3 linked regions of the Drosophila melanogaster genome follow. The protein of the gene in region 1 interacts with the protein of each later gene in a pairwise test. Each region holds a gene or a part of one and is shown in the gene's direction. Other genes may lie near its edges.

Evidence for each region. The genes of interacting proteins can lie anywhere in the genome.
Region 2: the proteins of CG9782 (region 1) and CG10237 interact in a two-hybrid assay, tested with the Drosophila melanogaster proteins (one large-scale study listed by BioGRID).
Region 3: the proteins of CG9782 (region 1) and CG6180 interact in a two-hybrid assay, tested with the Drosophila melanogaster proteins (one large-scale study listed by BioGRID).

The regions. Positions count from the first base shown.
Region 1 is NC_004354.4:16,614,338-16,624,285, reverse strand, and holds CG9782 (uncharacterized protein), read left to right. Parts: upstream 1-2,696; 5' UTR 2,697-2,939; coding exon 2,940-2,956; intron 2,957-7,941; coding exon 7,942-8,456; intron 8,457-8,627; coding exon 8,628-8,776; 3' UTR 8,777-9,258; downstream 9,259-9,948.
Region 2 is NT_033779.5:19,434,207-19,442,520, reverse strand, and holds CG10237 (uncharacterized protein), read left to right. Parts: upstream 1-1,613; 5' UTR 1,614-1,799; coding exon 1,800-1,857; intron 1,858-3,554; exon of another isoform or gene 3,555-4,227; intron 4,228-4,387; exon of another isoform or gene 4,388-4,508; coding exon of another isoform or gene 4,509-4,512; intron 4,513-4,675; coding exon 4,676-4,855; intron 4,856-5,394; coding exon 5,395-5,489; intron 5,490-5,557; coding exon 5,558-5,711; intron 5,712-5,887; coding exon 5,888-6,375; 3' UTR 6,376-6,671; downstream 6,672-8,314. Other genes in the region: Rab9, read right to left, coding at 7,215-7,598, 7,660-7,854.
Region 3 is NT_033779.5:12,705,884-12,710,323, forward strand, and holds CG6180 (uncharacterized protein), read left to right. Parts: upstream 1-1,777; 5' UTR 1,778-1,887; coding exon 1,888-2,661; 3' UTR 2,662-2,797; downstream 2,798-4,440. Other genes in the region: spict (spichthyin), read left to right, coding at 1-564; CG15484 (uncharacterized protein), read right to left, coding at 1,026-1,646; CG5787 (uncharacterized protein), read right to left, coding at 3,370-3,426, 3,492-4,342.

The DNA.
Region 1 (9,948 bases):
ACGTTTGTAATTGCATTTGTCATCGAATCTTCAAATCGACTGGCATCCAAATGGAATTGCAAGCGTCAAGAAAATAAAAACTATAATGTGTATAAAATCAGTATTCATTTGTTTTCTGTTCATCAACTTTTTTGTTTTTCTACTTTGGTTTGGTTCGGTTATCCCCACATATATATATATATATATATATCTCCCCCTATATCATAGATCGTCTGGAGCGGCATATAAGATCCCACAACGATGAGACTGTTCTACTGCCTTAGAGAGTACGGATAAAAAAAAAAAAAAAAACAGGAATCGGAATCAGAAGCAATTAATAAAACTTAAACCATTGTGTAATATGTACTTTAAACCTAGAGCTAAGCTCAAACCAAAAGTCTGATCAAATGCAAACTAAAGTTATTCGGTTCATGAAAACTTGCATAAAACTGCCTTTATTTTGGGTTCGTATCTGTATCTATATCGGTATCGGTATCTGTATCTGTATCTGTTTATGTGGCGGCATTAATCTGGCCCCCAAATACGTGATGGGCATGGAAATATGCCGGAATCATCGGGTCCATTAGCTCCATTTGCATGGCTATTTGCATTTGGATTGGATCTTAATGGAACTGGGATGGAAATGGCGGCCATTGTCCCATTGCGTATTTATTTTTTTTTTTATTAATATTTTTAACAAGTTTCTGGTTTATGCTCTGCACCATTGCGTTGTATCATCTGGCATATCAGATGATATCCATGTGTGTTTATCTCGCTTATATTTTATAACATATATTTTGCCATTTTGGCTGACATTTTGTAGTTCAAGGTGAGTTGGCCAGACGGCTGGCTGGCTTCACAGCTTGGAGCTTGGAGCTCGCATCTCGGATCTTGGAGCTTAATTAGTATGTCCCATTGAGCCAAGTGCCGCCAAAAAATCAACACCTGGCCGCAGAACATCTGCAAGAGTTCAAAGCGATCGTTAGCTGATGGGTGTGGAAGATTAATTAGCGCCCATCAGCTTTGTCACCCATTAAACATATGCAGCCATCACCCTACAGACCCCGCCCCTGACCCCCCCCCCCCCCCTGCAGCACTCCTGATCAATCAGTTCAAGGCCGCGACGAACCCACAAAATATGCATAAATATTTCTGGCTTTATCAGCTTTTACGGATTTTTAATTTGGTGCCATTCCATACCTTAAATTGACTCAGGGCCCGCAGACTTGCAGATGGATTTCGGTTGGATTTGGTGGCCATAGAATTGAGATTCATTGAAGTTTTCAAAGATCAGTTGTTAACTTGCATTTGAGGTCCAGTGATTTTAGTCTTCAAAGAGTTTAATGCTTGTAAAAATATTTAATGTAAATTAATATTTGTATTTATTTCACTTTCTTATTAAGGAAAACTTTTAATGTGGAAAAATTCATTTGACATGTGACCAAAAGTCAATTGAAATTTGTTTCATTACACTTTCTAGGGTATTTGCATATCGTTGATAATTAACTGACTTGATTTGGTTAATTTTTAAACGCGAACTTAGCGATTTACATGCGGCACAGATGTGTGTTTTTGGCCAACGGGCGGGACGGCTGCTTTCGGGGATTGGTTGGTCAGCTCGATCGGGATTTACCAGATCGGCAAAGAGGCAAAACAACAATTGGCCTAAAATCAATAAATTAATTAATAAAATATACAAATTGCGAATGTTGAGTCGGCTCCACTCCGCTCAGCTCAACTCAACGCAATTCAACTCAACTCAGCTCGACTCAGATTGGATTGGCTTGACTTGGCTGGGATTGGAGTGGATTGGATACGAAAAACCTGTCATAACCAGAGCCCAGGCCCGTGACAAATTGGCTCCGAAAAACCAGAAGTACTCCTGCCAGCACAGATCGACCATCGAGGCGCTTGGGCACACAAGGCGAAAAAATCAGGAATTACATTTTTAATATCAGCTTGGCGGGTGGTAGATAATGTTAAATTATACAAACTAATTTAATCAATGATGTCATTGAAGGGGCATAGGAATTTTCTTTGTTAGTGGAAAAATTCAGGGAATATGTGAAGTACGTCGGCATAAATTAATTTAAAATTAATTTTAATTAATTAAAAATTATTCTTTTGCTCACATCCACAAAAAAGGAAAGGATGGCAAGGAAACTTCAGTAATCTGTAATCACATAACTAAGTAATTTGCGGTATTATAAACTTCTATATATTCCTAAAAATATATAGCATGGATACATACATATATTAAACACATTCAATTGAATGTATAAATATAGTTTATACAGTTGACTAAATAAGTCCTGATGAATTTGCATTTGTAATTTGATACAAATACAGACCAAAGTTAAGTTAAGCATATATGTTATATGGCAAAAAGGAAAAGTTCTGAAGAATTCGCATGCCTTGCTTGATTGATGACTATAGATGAAAGTATGGCTAGAATTCGACGTTTCTTACCACATTTTTCGCGCCGTGCAAAAGCAAAAAGAGCTTTTGAGCGCAGGCGGCGATGGAAGTGGAGGGGCTGGGAGTCGCTGGCGGAGGAGGAGGAGGAGGCGGTGGCCACGGGTTGGAGGTGCAGGCAGGCGGTTTGGCTAGGGCGGTCTGAACCTGTTGCGCAGCCGCTGCCGCCGTCGAAGTCACCGTCGCTGCCACAAAATATTGGATGGCCGTAGGTTAACTGTGTGCACACGGCATAAGTAACGTTCAGTCTGCCTCTAGAAGTCGATCGTGATCGTGGCCAGTCGTCAGTACCGCTCGCTAGCAGAGAAGCCGATAACCTCGCCCCCCTCCCTCAAAAAAAAATATATAAAATCAATTATAAATACACAAGTGTTTTTTTTCTAGTTTAAGTTTAAGACGCGCGCGTTTCGAGTTCATTTTGTTGTTGGTCCAAAGCCGCTCCCCACGCATCGAAAAACACGCACGAGCACACACATCAAGACAAAATGAAGTACTTCAACATGTGAGTGATCCAAAAATATATAGTATATATTTATTTCAAAATATTAAATATTGTTTCGTGACCGATGAGGAGAGATCGTATTTTTTTTTTCAAGTGATTGTTATAAAACTGAACAGGACATTGGAACAGAAATAGTAACTTATTAATAGACACATTTTATAATTAAAAATATTTAAAGAATATTTTAATCGAACCACTTTGAGCTTGATTTGCATAGCCCACCACGCACGCTAAACTTCTCGAATTTCTTTGGTACATATATTTAATTTTCGAAATCCCAACTTAGTTGCCAACCGTCGAAATGCATTGGCAATCGACTCCGTTGCATGTAGCACGTTGACTTGCAACCTTTATGGGGCACAACCACATGCAGGTGTAGGTAAGCTCGTCTTAATGCCAATTTGAACTTTAACATGCCGTGGCTTCAAACTGGAACTGAACCGAGCTCCGTGGCTGTGGCTAAAATGCCAAAGTTTGGTCATAACGATGATCACCATGATCAGCATTGCAACGACGACGATGATGATGATGATGATGTGATGAAGTTGTCACGGGATGTGAGGCTGGCATTTTGCCGGCAAAGAAATGGCAAAAGTTAAAGCTTCAGATCGTAAAAGGCGATCACAGTGGCGACAGCAGAGGGGGTGATGGTATGGGGTCTGCTCCATGTTTCAAGGTCGCCAGCTAAAGTGGCTCCTCCTTTCGAAGTGGATGCGCTCAACGCCTCAGATCGTCAGATCACCCGATCACCAGATCACCGCTTTCCTCGACTTTTCGCAGCTGCAGCAAATTAAGTATATTGGATTAATTACCGCGGTTGTCTTTTATAAATTAACGGTTGCACTTTTAATGCGAGCTGACAGACAGACCGCATATCTGCATAAATGCAATACCACTCGAATGGGGTGTGTATATATATATACATATATATATGTATGTATTATATGTGTTAATCGCAGCGTTGTATGCATGGAATTAATCACATGGAAATGGCGAGGAGAGAGGTGGAGTTGGAGTTGGTAGGTGAGTCGGCAGGCAGACGGCTAAATCAGGATTTTCCGTTCCATTTCCCCGGCATGGTGTATTATGCAATTTATTTTAAATAAATAAAAGAAATGAAAATACACGGCGATGCCTTCAAGATTCAACATTCAAGATTCAAGGACTTTCGAGTCGCAAAATTGGCAGTGTGTGTGTGTGTGTGTGTGTGTATGAGTAATATACATATGTGCTGCACTTCATGGGCCAAAGCGAATTCAATGCGATACCGAAAACGTAAACACCAAAATACCACTCTGGGCCAAATCAAAAGACTTAGGCAGCGAACTCGATCGATTTGGCATGCAGCCAGCCAGCCAGCCAGCCAGAAGTAGTAGTAGTAGTGTAAAAACACGTACCAAAGCAACCAAAACACGTACTTGGCCAACTAACAACGACACAATGCACCGTTATTGAACCCACTTGCCTCAAGCGGCCAATCGGCTCTTTTCGCCTTAATTTTGGAACAACTCACCAGGCCAAACCCCCATCCAACCTCCATCCAATTTAACTGGCTTGCTGACTTCAACTTGATCCAACGCGGCAGCAATAAAAGCAGTTACAATCAAATTGAATTCGAATTTGAATCCGATTCGGTGTCGAATGTGCACGTTTGGCCCGTAATAAGTGGCTACACATACATATGGTCCAAATGGGGGGGGGGACTATCTGATCGGGGGCTTGGGGGGTGTGGCCCGTAGGGGGGGGCAAAGGTGCATGCTGGTAGTGGACGCGTAATGAGGTCTCCAGGGCAATTAGAAAACGTGCATGGCTTAACTGGGGCAGGTGTCGCATTTCGTTACGGAAACTTTGAGCCCAGCTCAAGATCAACACTTTCAAGAGGCATTTTTTCTTTTTGAAAAGGTTTCTCTACATTTAGAAATATTGGCCGAATAGTTTCAGATTTTAAGACATTATTTAAATGGGTTTCCTCTAGACTTCAGTTTATAGTTTTTCTTCAGCTTTTATTTGACAAAAACTCGAAATGCATACATAATTCAAGCAAAGCAACTTCCGCTTCTTAAAACTTGAAGACAACCAATCGTTTTAATGCTGCATAAATTGCTTTTGAGTGTGGAAGTTCTTTCATATCCGCAGTAGGCCCAATGACGTCAGCCCATTAAGTCGAAATAAAAAGGCAAAAAAACAAAAAATAAATAAAATAAGCAGCATAAGCCAACAAAACAGAGTGCGAAACGAAAGGAAAACAAAAGGAGACCAAACAAAAGCGAAATGAAATGAAATAAATTAAGAGCCAAACCAATTTGTTGACCAAGCTCTTTAAATGAGGATGATAATGAGGCCGAACGATGAGGCTGCATTAAATAAGTGGTTCCGCCTGATCCACGAAATTCTCGCCAACGCGAGTTGCTTATCATAAATTCGCAACTAATGTCGGCTTATATAACCACCGGCTGGCACTAAAAACAGCCCACGGCGACCAGAAATGTGCCCGTCTGCCGGTGTACCGCCGTACCAGCCGCATCCATTTGCCTACCCATCTATCTACCTGTCCACCCAACGGATTGTTTGTGGGTGTGGACTGCGCACTGGCGTCGTCTGCGCCCTGCCATTGTTCCCGTTGGCCAATCCGCTGGAGAACCGGTTGCGAGATGCTCTATGCCCAGTGCCTAGCCAAATGTCATGGAAAACCCAGCACTTGCAGAACTGACATATGATCCCCCACACCACAGATACATAAATACCAAATATTGCCTTGCGTATAAAACAATGGTATAATAAATATTGGAAATTAACTAATAACAATGAGTGAGTTTATAAGCAACAAACTAAACCGAACTAAACTAAACCAGTGAAGAAAAGCTTTATTCAAAACGTGATCGATCCATTCAAAATGAAAGATCTAAACGACCCGAAGAGAAAATCGTTGGCCCAAGCCCCCTTGAGAAATATTTCTGGGCACGCCTCTGGGCACTGAACTGAAGTCGCTGGAGTCGCTGGGATGTTGAAGATGCCGGGCACGCACCCACAACTTGGGCCCACGCCTTTCACCTTTTGCCAGTTGCATAATTGTCGCTTAACTGGGCCATCTCCATAGCTACATCCACGTTCATATCGATATCCACAGCCACATGTATTCCCACATGTAAAGCCAATCCAGTTGACCCCATAAGCAAATAAATCCCAATGGGGGAAATGCAGCATGCTCGAATGCAAATGAAACGAGCGATACGATAATCGAGTAGAAATAATTAAAATGAACAACGGTGCTATGTGTGTTGGCTAAAAATAAAACTTGGCTTGCACATTTTACCGTTATTAGCCAACTGCAACTGTGAGCGCGCACTTAAATATATTCTGGCGTGGTGCTGGCTGCCACCAACTGGTTTCCCCCGCCCCACTCGTGGCGCTGTTGACTGCCTTTTGCATAAGCACCTGTTTCCTTTGGCCACTCACCCACCGCAACGCCCTGCACAGCCGTACCAACCCCATTCCCCCAACCTTCCACTCCTCTGGCCACCCCCTCATCGCGGCAATAACAACAAAGCACTCGACTTAAGCGTTGCCATAGGAAAGAATTTCAAAACGAGTTCGCTGCCTAAGTCTTTTGTTTTGCATAAAATATGAGCAATTGACTTGACTCACTGAAGCCGCCGCCATCGTCGCCAGCGGCAAAGAGAAATAAAAAGTGGTTAACTAAAGCAAGAAATAAGGAAAAAAAAATATATATATACAGTAGAAACAACAACAACAACAGATACGGAGCAACATTCATTCGCATTCGAATTCGGCATTAAAGCGAAATCCATATCCAAATCGAAATCGAAAGTGAACAAACCCGTTTGTCTGACCTTTACACATTAATATTTGTTAGCACATCTCTGTCCTCCGTCAGCATGCGACATAAAGTATACAAAAAAAAAACAAAAAAAAACAAAAATAAAATAGCAAATCTTACAGGAAACCCGAATGGCAACTACTAATAAATATTAATTATTAGCCTAAACAAATCCAGCTCTTTACGACCTTTACAGGTGATAAATCTAAATAGAGTTAAAAGTGAGAACAAATTCTGCTGATTTTGCAAGCATATAAGCCTATTGTTGATTGAATATCGCTGTTTTAGATCTTCACTTTGCTAAATTTATTATAATTTCATGCTTCTTATTCAGTTAATTACCATATTTCTTGTCGTATCATTCAAAGAGTTTCCACTGTATATGTAGGGGCGGGCACATATGTATTTTATGTACACAATATTTACGACTTCAGGTTCTGTATTGAATAACCCGTCCAACCAGACCTGTCCCGTCCGTCCGATCGCCCAAGAGTTGGGTTCGAGCTGGAAGTCACGAGGATTAGATGCGTGTAGATGTTGGCCAACCTTGCCCGGGGGATTCACCAGATGCCATTCCATCACTGAATCGATTCGAATAGATCCGTTTCGTATCGATTCGAAAGTCGAGCGGTACATTGCACCAGCGACTTCGAAATTCAAGTTATTCCAGTAAATAATACTCGTAATTAACGAAACATTGTTCGTATAAACAACCAATGGGATTTTAATGGCAACAATTCAGTATTGATTTATGTAAAATTTGAATATTTAAGCATCTAATCATGGCAACAAATAGGCACTTGCATTTAAATTCTAATGTTACTGACTAATGATAGCAAGATCGAATTTTTCAAGAAACCTTCAGAATACTTATTTAAAGTATAATTTAATTTAAGTATAAGGAAGTGTGTTTTTTGTCTTTTTAACCATTTGAAAATTATTTCAGTAATTAAATGGTGTTCCACTTTTGGCAATGGTTTTTAATGAGCTATTTTTGGCAGTTTTCAAAGTATTTAAATGAGTAAAAGCATAAGTATTTAAAATAGGAGCTATATACGATTGGCATGAATTATTAAATAATTTTGTTTCATTGCAGTATAATTATATAATTATTAATAATTTATTATATTTTTTTTAATCCACTTAGCTGCCTGCTCTTCATCGTCTGCGTCCTGTGCTACGGAGTGGTCTCCGCTCAGGAGGAGGGTGGTCCCGCCGTTTCGCCGGCGAAGAGAATCGCCGCCCTGCGCCGTCCGGTCGGGAAGGCGGCCAAGGTGACAACCACGACGACAGCGGCGCCAGCACAAGCGGATGCCGGCGGCGAGGGCGAGGAGTATGACGAGGAAACCGGCGAGCACGGCGATCATGGCGAGGAGGGCGACGAGGCGTCCTTTGCCAGCTCTACCACCACCACCACCACGGAGGCGCCCAAAAAGGTCGGCCCGGTTATCCGGCCGTTCCGCTCCAACGATGACTTCCTCAACTCGCTGAAGCGCCGTCAGGCGAACGCGAAGAAGCACCGTGCCGAGAAGCCGCCCAGTCCCAGCAAGCCGGCCAAGAAGAGCGACGAGTCCAACTCCGGCGAGCAGGAGGAGCAGGCATCCGCGCCAGCACCCGCCCCAGCATCCAGTCCCGCCAAGGGCTACAAGGGCAACTCAGCATGTAAGTTAGTCAGGGATTAGGCCAGGATTTTGCTCTAAATGGACTAGCAGTGCCTTCTGAATTTACTAATTTTGAAATAATTGACATTAAACTAGAATAGAAATCTTTAAAATCATCTCTCTATATCAAGTTATTAAATCCATTACTAACTAACGCTTTAACTATCCCCAGTGAGCCGTCGCAAGCTGTCGAAGCCCGCCAAGGCGACGCCCGTGGAGGCGGTGGAGGATGCCGCCGCTGAGGAATCGGAGCAGCAGCAGAAGGAGGAGACGAAGCCCAAGCGCCCCATCGGTCGTCTGGCCCTGCGGAAGCGCAACTGAGCGTTGATTTGAGTGTCAATCAGATCCAACTCCTATTCTACACACATTCCCAGTGACCAGCAAACAACAAACCCTCCCCCCCCTCTCCAACACCACATTTCCCCTCTCTCTCCCCCCCCCCCTCTACCCATCGAATCATATGGCTAGCTATGTGGCAGCCCGATCTGCCCTTTAGTTTTTAGTTCGCAATTGATTTTTCGTGTATGTAATATATTTGTAATCTTATGTTGTAAACAAAAACACACGCGCACACACAACACTCACTCAACTCACACACACCCACCCACCAACGCCACAACGACCACGCCCACTTATCCAGAGCCAGTACCCCATCCTTCATGTACGCGATAAATACGCATATATATTTTGCGAATATATGTGCGAGTATTTAAGCGGGCACAATTATGTATTCTTCACAACCATCAAACAATCAATCAATCAATCAAACAATCAATCAACCAGTAATAAAAACAACAAAATCGAAACATGCATTTTTCAATTAGTTTGTAATAAAAAAAACAGAAATATCTTTAAAATGAAACTCCAAAATGTCGAATAAAATATTAAAATATTCAATATTTCTATTCAGAAATTTTTTTTTGGATTTCTAGTTATTTTTGGTAGTTTTTAACTATGAATGAAACCACAAAATTGAACATTTTCGCATTTAAGTTTATTCATTAATTAATAATTACACGGGTTAAATCAAAAAAACAGAACAAAGAATGTAAGCTAAAAGTTCTAAAATATTTTCGAAATCGGGAATGTGTTTAGATATATGCATATGTGTATGTCTGGAGCGTACAAACTTTTCACACCAATGTAAAATGTAAAATGTTTAAAAAATATTTATGTCGAAATTGTATATGCTCTTCCGCCTAACGCTATCTCTTTCTCTTTCGTTTTCTGTCTCCCTTCGATTCACACCTTCGTTGTTTCGCTTTTGCTTAGAATTAGGATTTGTTTTTATAAAAAATATATGTGTATATATATATATATATAGATTTTTAACATTAGCTCTTAGCGTATATATGTATATATTCGAACAATGTTTTATGGGCTGGTTAAAAAAAATCAAACACACACGCACACAAATCAATATTGACAAGAGACAGAGAGCAAAATGCTGAAATACTCATATATGTATATATATATATATATATAAAAATGTG
Region 2 (8,314 bases), on another chromosome or scaffold:
CAGAATGGGCTCAGGCAAGCGCAAGAAATGGCATGGAAATACATTTGGAAACGGCGAGCAGTGAAATACTTAATTAATTGCTCGTGCTTGAAACTAAAAGCAAATGAGCTCGAATTACCCACAGCCCCCGTCAGTCAGTTGATCACTTGATCGTGGAACGCGGACACGCCAGTCGAAAGAAGGTACATTAGCTAGTGTCCGGCAGAAAAGCAGAAAGTTACTGTTGTGTCGAACGGGAGGAGTGATAGCCAAAGCAATAACTTACACACTTACGATCCGTAAGAGGGATTACAAACTCGTTTTTCACTCAGTCACAGTGGCGAAGGCGATTAGTCTTTAAACTACTCGTGTACGGAGCGTTCAAAAGTTCAAGTCTAATTGCATCCAAGTCGCGTAACCATCAGAAGATTAACCACGATACACTGTGCGAAACGCTCAGAACACGCACTTAATATAAATATATATACATATATAAAGCTGTGCCGCGATTGCGAAAGTGCCCCGATGCTATATAGCTAACTTAAAAATTTCGTATTTTGCGACGAGAAATGAAAATATTCCTTCGTTTACATTCTAGAACAAATATAGGAAGTGGACTTTTCGCAAGTGGCAGATGAGAATTTCTCGAAAGTGCTAAACAGTACAAGTTACAAAGTGTATATAGTTACAAAATATAGCAAAGTGGATTTCCTGATAGAAAGTACGGATTTTTTCAATAATAATAATAATAACTATATTGTTTTAAGTCAAGAACATTTCTAAAAGTGCACACAAAGTGAAGAAAGTTCTTGAATTTTGTAGTACTCACTTACTTTCAGTGTACCTTCTGCAACATTATATTTAATAATGTTAATTGCTGTGGAAAATCGATTGAGTGCGCTGCACCGTGAGAAATACCGCACTTGTCTTGGCACTTTAACGTACTAAAAACAATGGAAATAACATAAAATTAATGCTGAGCTCAGTGAACCATTTTCAGGTGAACTTATGCAAAACAAGCCAAAAAAAAAAAAGAAGATCCCATGCGGCGATTCGCGACGTGATCTTTAGAGCTCTTAACTCGAATCGGTCGCTTATAATGACCTATTAAGTCGCGCTGGCCTTACGAGTGCCCGACTATTCCGACCGACCTATGTATATATCTTGATAACTATAACTTTGTCGTACAATACATATGTGCAATGCACGCAGTGCATAAAAGGGGCGGCTATAAAACGATTTGACAAGCAGCTTTGTATTTTCAGTCTTCAAACGCGACCCAAGCTCACTAGGTACATATATCGGAGTCGAACGGGAGTTCCGAAGGATTTCCACTGTACCAGCCAACTATTTGTGGATTAGCCGATTTTCAATTCAAACAAGGTGAGTAATTGGATCTCATATATACATTTGTATATATATATACATATAGAGTGCTTTTCTTTTTAAGAGTGCATTTCTGAGTGTGTAGCGCTAGGGACCATAAAAATATCTTAGCCAGATCACCATCACTATCACTATGTAGCTACGCTCAGCCCTTATTTACGAGGCATCACTGTCTGTCCGTGTTTTTTGCATTGCCTTTTGCTCATTACTGTTGCATGCATTCCCCCCTTTCGCACTCGTCGCTCGAGAATTTCAGACAAAGTTCAGTAACTCGCCGACGACATTGACCCATTTAGCCACCGCCGATGCTCCCGACTCGATCAGCCTGAATAAAGAAATATTAATTTATTTACATACGCTAGCATTTGCATGTGCATACCGGTTTAGTTAGTTGTAAAGTAACTTGTGTGTGTATTCATTCGATCTGCATCGCCATGACCATGCTGACCACTGCATCTGCGATGAGGTGCCTGCCCTCTGAATTCCCACTTGGTGAGCAATAGCGAAATCTGCCGAACCCCATTTTTTATCGTATATTTATTGCAAGTACTATATGCATTTTCTTAGAATTATCTCCCTCAAATAGAATTATTTTCTATATACGTACGTATGTATTTATATAAGGCGCGTGGCTACAGTTGCTCGAAAAACTATACACCAGTTTGTTAAAAACTTATATACAGTTGTGCTGGTAATTGAAAGTCACGATTAGTTCGAGAAAGAGTATTTAAAAGGTATTCAAAATATAAATAATTTAAAAAAAACAACACTTTTTGCAATGCCTTTTGATATGCCATCTAAATTGTTTGGACATCAAGCGAGTATTCATGTAACAATCCATTTGTTCGATGTCAGTAATATCTACCGACTTGTACTTTTTCCATCTCTTGAGTAAGGTCAAAGCACTTTTGCTTTTGAACCGCCATTGTCACGTTCTTCAAAAGCAGGTTTCTCATGCAGGGTTTTTAACACGCTTTTTGCAAAGAAAAAACCGAAGGGCGAAGGTTGACATTGCAATGGGTCGTAACCCCAGAATTACTCATATTACTCGCTTCAAGTTTTTTCCATATACTCGCAGCTTTGTACCACCCAGTTTTCGTCAGCATCCGCTTCGAGATGGCCAATAAAAATTGACCAAATGACCGAAACTGGCCGTAATGAAATCGAGAGTATCATCGCAACGTAAATCCGTATCCATGAATGGCCGAAGTCTTCGCACGTGCGATCGTGCGATTGAACCGATTTGTCCAAAACCGGGCGGGAACCATTTGCTGTCCACAACGCAGAGGGTGCTCGGCTTTGGGACGTGTTAATTATACCAAATATGCCTGGCTTAACACATGGGGCTGAGAAAATAGGGACATATGATATGACATGGTGATGCGGTGTCATTAGATGCGATCTTATGATCTATAACTATGATCTATAAATAGTTGAAGATGCTTTCAAGTGTCCAATGTTTGTGGTCTCCAACAAATTGCTAGTGGGGTGACCCCAGGTGTAGGTACGCCGAACAGGTGTAAGCACTAATTGGCGTGTAGCTGGGCAGCATTGAAACCGGATGGCTATGCACGGGCACGGGGCTTCAGGGTCGCGATGGGAAATGCCTATGCCAAGGGATTTTCAAGAGCCCAATAGTACTGTGGGCGATTACCCGAAGAAAACCCGAATAAATTAGGCAAGTCCAAGTTGAAAGCGAAACTGAAACCGGCTTGAGGTGGCGGTGGCATCATTTCCCAATGACGATGCACCCCAGACCCAGTAAAGCTTGCTCGCTCTCCCTGGGCAAACTCCATGTGTCTCTCCATCTAGCAACTCCACGCTCTTGCGAGGCACGTGAATGTCATGCTCAAGTTCAGATTCAGCTGGTGATGATCACTTAATGGGTGCACAACTTGTTTCATATAATAGCATTATATAGTTATTCCCCATCACTAGTGCAAGCAAGCAAGAAAATATATGTTTCAGTAGAAGCTTATTATGTTGAAACTACTTCATTTTGGTGCATTAAAGCATTAAACAACTATAGTTAAAAGACCCCCTTATAGCAGAAGTAGTTACTGTCGGGAAACAAACCCACTTGGCAGCACTGGCGTCTCGATCGGCGACACCCACTCTCATGCCGCTCCGCTCACAATTCCAGTTTTAATTCTTGGCCTGGCATAAAATCTCGACTCGCGCTTTTGGCCGCAACAGTTTCATCTGGGCTTTCAGCTCCGTTGCACGCGTCACTCGCAGCTGGTTTTTTGGGCCGTCTTTGCGGAATACTGTTAGCCATTATACCATTATAGCCTTTAAGTTTGGGCCAAACTAGTTTCGGTCGTGTTGTGTTGTCTTGTGTTGTGTTGTGATCCGTGTGTACTATTTAAGATCTCGTATTTTCCCAGACACAACATCAGCGATTCAGTAGACTCTTGTGTATCATTCATGAATGCAAAAACAGACGATACCCTAAGCAAATCACCTGGCCCATCTAGCCGAAATTGGTAGCAATTTTCAATGTCAGCGCTTCGGATGCTAATCTCCTAGTCTTTTGTTTCGAGCCAGCACTAACGCTAATTTTCGATTTGATGGGAAATCTTCAGCGCTAATTTCCGATTTGATGGGAAATCTAGTGTGCTAATTTCTGATATCCAACTGCCCCACTATATAAGCTCACAGACCCTGGCTCCTCATCTCGCAATTCGAAACCTGCCTAACTGGAAATTACGCTCAAGTAGAACGCGTCAAGTGTCTCCAGAATTTAGTTCAAGGCTCCTAACGTTATTTTCTGATCTCTGAAGAATTGCATTATCTTCGCGAATCTCTGGCCTCTTCTTCCGTTTTAAGCAATTTGCGAATGTCAAGGTGAAGGTCGGCCAGGTGATTAATAAATAAATGAATACATATATGGATATGTTTAGACGATCATCGCATTGACTGGCGGGAAAGTCTAGAAACTCGATGCAGTTGAGCCGGTTCCGAGTCACTTGTGTCTCGCTAATAAATTGAAATCTCTACGCTTTTTTCTTCTTATAAATAGAGGGCACAATTTTACATTTGGCAAACTGAAAATATACAGCGGCGAACCGCTTAGAAAAAGCACATAGCTTAATATAATCGCAGAATAATTTCAGTTCAGCCAGAGCAGCAACAATTGCAAAATGAGTAAGTAGTAATTGTGAAGTATGACAACTAATTGGCAATCGATGTCAGTTAGCTCAAGTTATTTAGTTGGCCAAAGTTCCCAGTGCTCTCAGTGTGAAACCCGCAGCCCCAGCTCAAAGTACAGAAGCTGTCGCTAACCGAACCCCAACTGCTTCCCTTCCAGGAGTACCCACCATGCTGTCGGACATCGACCAACTGCCCACGCTCCAGGTGGGCGACTACACGCTCCAGTTCGAGTTGGGCGAGCCGACTGCCCAGGGCAAGGAGGTGGCCATCAAGGAGCTGCGCGAAACACCCGAGCGCCAGAAGGAGGCCTCCAAGGAGCTGGCCCGTCTTCTAGAAGGTGAGTCGTGATCAGAAATGGAGTTTTACTTTGAATCAATATAATTATACATTAACTACATGAGTTAAAACTCACATGATGAAAGTCATTGAAACTGCATTACATCTGTTTAAAGTATATACATATATCTGAACTGAGATCATACAATATGCATTTTGCTAAGCTATTTTCATAATTTATATCCGAGGGATCTCCAAAAGCTGATAAAAACTTGAGTTAATAAAACTTAAGCCATAAACTTCGTACTTAGCCTGCATCTAATAATTTACCCGATTGTTGGGAATTGAAAATCCATTTGTACACCAAGTTCGAACGAATAGTTCTATATCATTAGTTGGCGACTTCGTGTCACTAATAACAAGTTGGGGCTAAAAGCAGCGCGCCCTCGAGAGGATTTCGTTGCATAAGATTCGTAACTATTGTTACAAATTACGATTGCCTTTTAATTGCTGGATAAACTTAATGCCAGTGGTTTAGTGACTTTTTAGAATTAAGACTATTGAAGGTGAGGTCGATTAATATTTGCGATATGCTTCCAGCGGAGACGGACTTGCTGTACCCCAAGGGAAACGAGGAGTGGCTGATCAGATACCTGCGGCCCTGCAAGTATTACCCGGAAAGTGCCCGTGATCTGGTGAGTCTAGTGTGGCAACCCAGTTTCCAGCTGTGTTACTAATTGTATATATTCTGAATATGGAACAGATTAAGCGGTACTACGCCTTCAAGGTGAAGCACGCGGATGTGTACACCGACCTGAAGCCATCGAACGAGGCCAACATCTTCAAGCACAACATCCTTACCGTCTTCCCCAACCGAGATCAACTGGGTCGTCGCATTTTGGTCCTCGAACTGGGCAGTAAGTACACTGAAAGAAGGATACTTCAATATATTAGCTTTTGAGTGCAAAGATCTCGATCTTCAGAGTAAAGTTTATTTTAGTTAAGATGCAGGTTTTCCTATCATTTGAAGTTTCATAGTTGCTCCAAGCATTGAGCAGATCCTGTATTAATCTTTCGTAATCCCCGATTACAGAGCGCTGGAAGCACAAGCAGGTCACCCTCGATGAGGTGTTCAAGGGAGCTGTGCTCTTCCTGGAGGCGGCCATGCTGGAGCCAGAAACACAGATCTGCGGAGCCGTTGTGATCTTCGACATGGATGGCCTCAGTCTCCAGCAAACGTGGCAGTTTACGCCTCCGTTCGCCAAGCGCATTGTGGACTGGCTTCAGGACTCGGTGCCGCTCCGGATCAAGGCCATTCACATCGTGAACCAGCCGAAGATTTTCCAGGTGGTCTTTGCCCTGTTCAAGCCCTTCCTCAAGGAGAAGCTGCGCAGCAGGATCATCTTCCATGGCACCGATCGCGAGTCCCTGCACAAATACATGTCGCCCAAGTGCCTGCCAGCCGCCTACGGAGGATTCCGGGAGGCCAGCCGCATCGACAGCGACCAGTGGTACCAGCTGCTGCTCAAGTGCGACACCGAGTTCGACACCATCAACTCGTACGGCTACAAGAAGAAGTGATCTGTGGCCACCGGCCTGGTGCTGCTCGTGATAATCAACTCCACTCGTTTCCACACGTCTTCACATTAAGCCCACGTGGAGCGTTATAGTTAAGCACTCGATCTACCATACGCTTGTCCTGTTAGTGAGTAGCGCCTAGAGTTTGCCTTAGTCTTAACCAGGATCGGAGTGTCGATCGCAGCCAGAAGAAGTGTTATACCTACATGCATATTATTTTAATCCGGGGTAAGCGTATTTATATCATTTTACTATTGTACATTAAACCAATTGTTAAAATATAAACATACTTTGTAAACAAACACGTGCGGTATTCATATTTATTCGTTTGTTCCCAGCTTTCACATCAGATAAACACACTTAAGGCACTCCGAAATTATGCAATATATAAGGAAAAAATGTAGTGATTACATTCTGATTGCCTTATGCGTAGTACATTAGACACCTAAAGCTTGCTTTCCTCAAGCAAGACACTTGGTTATGGTAAAGCTTATATACGATTGTTATAAGAGTATTTCATACCGCATATATTCGATACGGTAACATAACAAAATAATAACTTAGTAAGATAATATTAAAGCATAGCAAGTAAAAATGGAGATCCTATTCTTGACATAGAAGCTAGCTCATAGTTAGCTCGCTGTGAAGCATAGTTCCCTTAGAATATCAACCACAACGAGGCAATCCACTCTCTACAGCCATCAACATTGGGTGGATGGGTTGCCTTTCGGTCTGAAGCTCCTGCCCCTCCGCGGACTGGAATGCATTGAATCTGAAGGTCAACCCGGCGGGGTGAGTGGTTAAATTAAGCGTAAGTTTCCTGACAGCTCCTGTCTGTCTGCTCATAGCCGATAATTGGTGGCTGGCGCCTTGCTGGCGTTGCGCTTCTGGCCGAACACTTTCTTGCCCGGACTGTGCATGGCGGCATCATCGCCATCCGCGTCCTGCCCTACGCCGCCGCCACCGCCTCCTCCGCCTGTGCAACAGATGCGCCGCTGCACCAGGCGAATGGGGCGGGTGAGGTCAATGGTGTCGCCGTGCTGGCGCAGTTCCGCCTCGGCCACGCACTCCATGTGCCGCCACTGGCGAAGGCCAAGGACGAACGCATCCGTCACATTGGTGGCCGCCTTCGATGACGTCTCGATGTGGCAGGCCACCTTCTGCTCCGCGCACCACTGCTGCACTGCGTCGGAGCTCACCTGTCGCTTCTGCGCCGGAATGTCGTTCTACAATTGGAAGCAATTAACCTTTTAAACTCAAGATGAACGTTCTGCAAGCATGGCTCACCTTATTTCCCACCACGATGAATGGAAACTTGTCCTGGTCCACATCTGCGTAGTTGAGGAACTCATTGCGCCACACACCCAATCCCTTCAAGCTGTCCCGGTCGTCGAGTGCGTAGCAGAGCAGACAGATGTCCGATCCTCTGTAGAACGGGGTGCGTAGAGCCCGGAATCGCTCCTGGCCAGCGGTGTCCCATATCTAGTTTGGGGAAATTCCAATTAAGGCAATGCATCAATTAAGTTTGATTGAATTGGCGATTCAAATGGCGCTCAATTGAAATTTGCATTCGATTAGAAGCAAACTCACTGAGAAACAAACACTTTCGCCGTTTGAAAACCTATGGAGTGTTTGCATGCCTGACTGACTCACTTATATCAACACATTTACTGTCATTTCTTGTGTGTTAATTAAATATTTAGTTTTGAACTGATAACGAGGTGGTGATAAGCAATTAGCTCAGGAAATAGTTCGTTGAATCTGAATTTTCGAGTAGCATACATACTTTAAATATTTATTTTATACTTTTATTTATTTTATACTTTCGAACATGAGGTTATACTTTTAGCTCTAACAATGGATACTTTAAACTTCTTTATCTAATATAAACACCTTTGGCCTCCAAACACATGGGTGGAATAACCCTTTTAGGGTGTGAGTA
Region 3 (4,440 bases), on another chromosome or scaffold:
TTTGTGGCCTGCTTCATTGCACCACGGCATGGGCACACCAATGTGGTAGTTTATATCTTCTTGTGCTCCGGCATCGGATCTCTGACTGTGATGTCCTGCAAGGCATTGGGCCTAGCCATACGGCAGACGCTGAATAACGGAGGCAACGTCTTCCTCACATGGATGCCATGGTTCCTGATCCTGGTCACCGTCACTTTCATAGCCATCCAGATGAACTATCTGAACAAGGCGCTGGATATATTCAATACTAGTATAGTTACTCCAGTGTACTATGTAATGTTCACCACCCTGGTGATAGCTGCGTCTGCCATCCTCTTCAAGGAGTTCACCCACATGCGGTTCGATGATATTCTCGGCGATGTGTGCGGCTTCCTGATCGTTATCACAGCTGTGTTCCTGCTCAACGCGTTCAGAGATATTGATATATCGCTGAACGATGTACGTGGACTGATGCGACCGAAAATGCAGCGGGTGTCGCAGTTCGACGAGGAGGTGCTGGTCACCAGCAATACCAAGGAACGGCGGCTGTCCTACGGATCCAGCGACATCTTCCGGAAGGCCTGACACAAGCAGCGCTACCAGGTCTAGTTACATCCCTTGCAGCGGCTGACCTGAAGACAAGGTTGCTTTACTCCGTAAACGAGGCATTGGTCCAAATATCTGTGCATATCACCTGCAATCACTTTCATCTCATCATTTCCATTTATTGTTCCTTCACTCTTGTTATTCATACATTCGCTAGCATAAGCACATAGGTTTAGGTTACACTTACATATATTAAACACGACTTAATGAAAACGATTTGTAATTGTAGTTTTATTTTTTGATTTTTGATATGATATTCGTATCTATGTATTACTAAAAAAAAACCATTAAAATATTCTACTACATTGGTAAATGTAGGTCGTTCCAAATCGAACGACAATATTCATTGCAAATAATGTGAGTACATGCTCAATCGGATTTAGTAAAATAAATCTTCAAGTTATTTTCAAGGTTTGTTAGTTAGTAATTTAATGAAGTATCTATGTATTCTGAATTTCGCCCTTGCTGGTCTTATCTGGATATTTTAATCCGTTCAGCCAGATGCAGTTGCTCAGACTTTTAGCGGTGTGAAATGAGTCATCGGCTGAGTTATCCGGACTGTTCTCCACTGGCGGAAGATCCTTTGGTCTACGAATCTTTCGTGGCGTGAAGAAGTCGCGATCTGTGATTAAAGGAAATCGCTGGCTTTCATTTGGAGCAACCGCAGGTAAGCTGATCTGCGGCTGGAGTGTCAGTGAGTCCTGTTTCAGGGTCATTCTTCCGAAGTTCCGGATGATGGCAATCGCCTCCACGTCCACCATTGTGGTGTCCTCCCAGTCCTCCATTGTGGCGTGCTCTCCCAGCGGCTTGGTGCCAGCTACTCTCTGAATCGTCTCCATCATTTGCAGACTTTGACGAATCTCTCGGCCCTTTCCACCCCGCGTGCCATATCCAAGCAGATCCTCGCGGGCTGTCAAAAGCTCATAGGTATGAATGGGAACGGATTCTGAGAATTCCTCTTTCTTCCTCAGTTCATAGGCGATCTGTCCATGGACCAGATTAAAGTGCGGCTCCAACTGCACCAGATCGTGCTCGAATCGTGATGTGGGAACCCAAGCCATGATGATTTCAGTTGCTTATAGTATTCTCACAGCCTTATTTTCATTTCCCGGAAATGCTTTTCTCAAGTAGACTGCGCAAATATTTTCGAAGATTAGAAATTCAAAATCACACATTCCTATCGATAGCGATAAAAACGTTTAAACGCTTACAGGTGAATCGCAACTTATCGATTGTCAGTCGGCAAATAGAACAATAAACAGTTTTTTAATTAATCCAATTTGGTTTACTTAAGCAATAAGGATGATTTGTATGCGGCTCCGGGTGTTGCGTAATCTCAATCGCAGCGCTTTAAATGGATTTAGAAAAGATTACATCCGATCAACCGGTGTGAATGTCAATTATTCAGCTGTCAACTTTCCGGCCGCCATTAGAACGCTGAAAACTTTTAGCAATTCTATCCTAACCAAGGAACCGAAACCAATCTTTGCATTTATCGCATCTCAGCGGCAGTATTCTTGCGAAAAAGTAGGCAAAACAATGGAGGAGCACTGCGTAGTTCCGGATGTGATCGCCAAGGCACCGGCGCAGACAGCTGTGGTGGAATATCCCGGCGATATTGTCGTGAAGCCGGGTCAGGTCCTGACCCCCACCCAGGTGAAGGATGAGCCGTGCGTGAAATGGGAGGCGGACGCCAATAAGCTGTACACCCTCTGCATGACCGATCCGGATGCGCCCAGTCGCAAGGATCCCAAGTTTAGGGAGTGGCACCATTGGCTGGTGGGCAACATACCCGGTGGAGATGTCGCCAAGGGCGAGGTTCTCTCCGCCTACGTGGGATCCGGGCCTCCACCAGACACCGGACTCCATCGTTACGTTTTCCTGATCTACGAGCAGCGGTGCAAGCTCACATTCGACGAGAAGCGACTGCCCAATAACAGCGGAGATGGACGCGGTGGCTTCAAAATCGCCGAGTTCGCCAAGAAGTACGCCCTCGGCAATCCCATTGCCGGTAACCTCTACCAGGCTGAGTACGACGACTATGTGCCCATCCTCTACAAGCAGCTGGGCGCTTAGTTTCTACGCCAAAAACCATGCTTATATAAGCCAGTCTGAATTGGATTCAAATCTATTGTAACCTAGAAATTAAAGACACCTATGAACACTCTGTGAAACCCTCTGTTGCTGGCAATAAAATTGTTAAAGACATATTAACTAAGCCACTGTATCTTATTACACATTTTCAATATTTTCATATCTTATCTTGTTAATTTGTCTGAAGTAATAATTCGGTTACCCTTTGCTGAGGCAAAACAGTTTCTGTGCTGGTTATGTATTTATTATTCATTCCAATTACAATCTACTTCTTTATCAATAGGATTCTTCTAGCGTCATTTGTATACATACAGATTTCATGAACTTGAGTTTATATCTCGCCAAAATACATGCTTTGAAGATACAAGACATAATTGCTATCGGACCTTCCAAATAGGAAGAACGTTTCTGATCAGTATTATAGTTATTTCCCAGGGCGCAAGAGACGCCCATCTGGGTAAGTTATTTATTTGTAAAAGCATTGCGACATAATTACAATCTACTTCTTAAAGTCAAGAGGATGGTTCTTCATGTGTGCAATAATAAAGGTCTCTAATACAACTAGATGCAGACTCATACAATCCATAAAATAATGCTGAAGAAGAACCCACGCTCTATTTCCTCCTTTGATGGGTCCAGTGCATATTCGGCTGTTGAGAAGGAGGGGAGGTGTCTAGTTTCCAAATTACTTTACTCTATAGAGGGAAAGACAGTGCGATGGTCTTTCCATTCGGTTTCGCTGATTGCCTATAAAAAGCAAGGTCGGAGTTAGTTAGTATGAAATAGGCTGCATGACTATGTTACCAACTTACCACTAGCTCGTCGAAAGCCTGTTTGGCCAGCCAGTGGAAGCATGGACTCTTCCATTCGCGCGCAATCGCCTGCTGATCCTTGACGTCGTCCTCGGCGGTGGACTTGGAATTGGTAATGGCCTTGTACTTGGCCCACAGGAAGACCATGCTGCGCAACTTGTAAACCCACAGGTCATTGGGTATGCCGCGAATAATGTCCTGTATTTCCACCATGTTCAACTCCGTAAGGTTATCCAGGAAGGTGCGGTTCATCAACGTAAAGATCGTCTTCATTGTGTCGTACGGCACGTCGGCATTCTTCTCGAGACCAAAGTGTGCCGACTTTATGATAGCGTAAACCACCTGCTCTGTGGTTAGCTTGGGCAGATTGGGTAGGAAGCAATGCTCTAGATTCAAGTTCCCACACTCCAACAGTTGCTGGTCGATCTCCTCGCCAACATTCTTGTAGTCCTTCCACCAGTTGCCCCAATCATTATATTTCTTCGATTCGTTAAGCGGTGCCCAATCGGACCGTATGCGTTTCCTGTTGCGCTTTGCAATCTTGCGAGCCGACTTGGCGTCGTCGGCCACCGATTCGTCTTCCGAATCTTCGTTGAGCACTACGGCCGCCTCTACGAAGTCCTCCTCGGTGGCGTCCTGGTTTGTACTGTAATTGAAGGTTTGTTCGAAGAAGGTCAAGGCATATGAGTCCGCCTCCGGCTGTGGGAGCTTCTTCGGCTGATCGTTGAGATAGGGAATCTTGAATCCGCCAATAAGGAAACCGCGCTTGCGTGCCACGCGTCGCCATTTCTTGACCGACTTGGAGGCAGCCTCCGTTTCCAGCGGTGGAGGTGGGGCAACACGCTTCTGACCTGCAATGCATAACATATTAGGAACTTGTGTATGGTAAAACTATTCCTAGTTGCTTTGCAAAACTCTACTAAATGAATTGGAATAGTTAGAAGAAAGT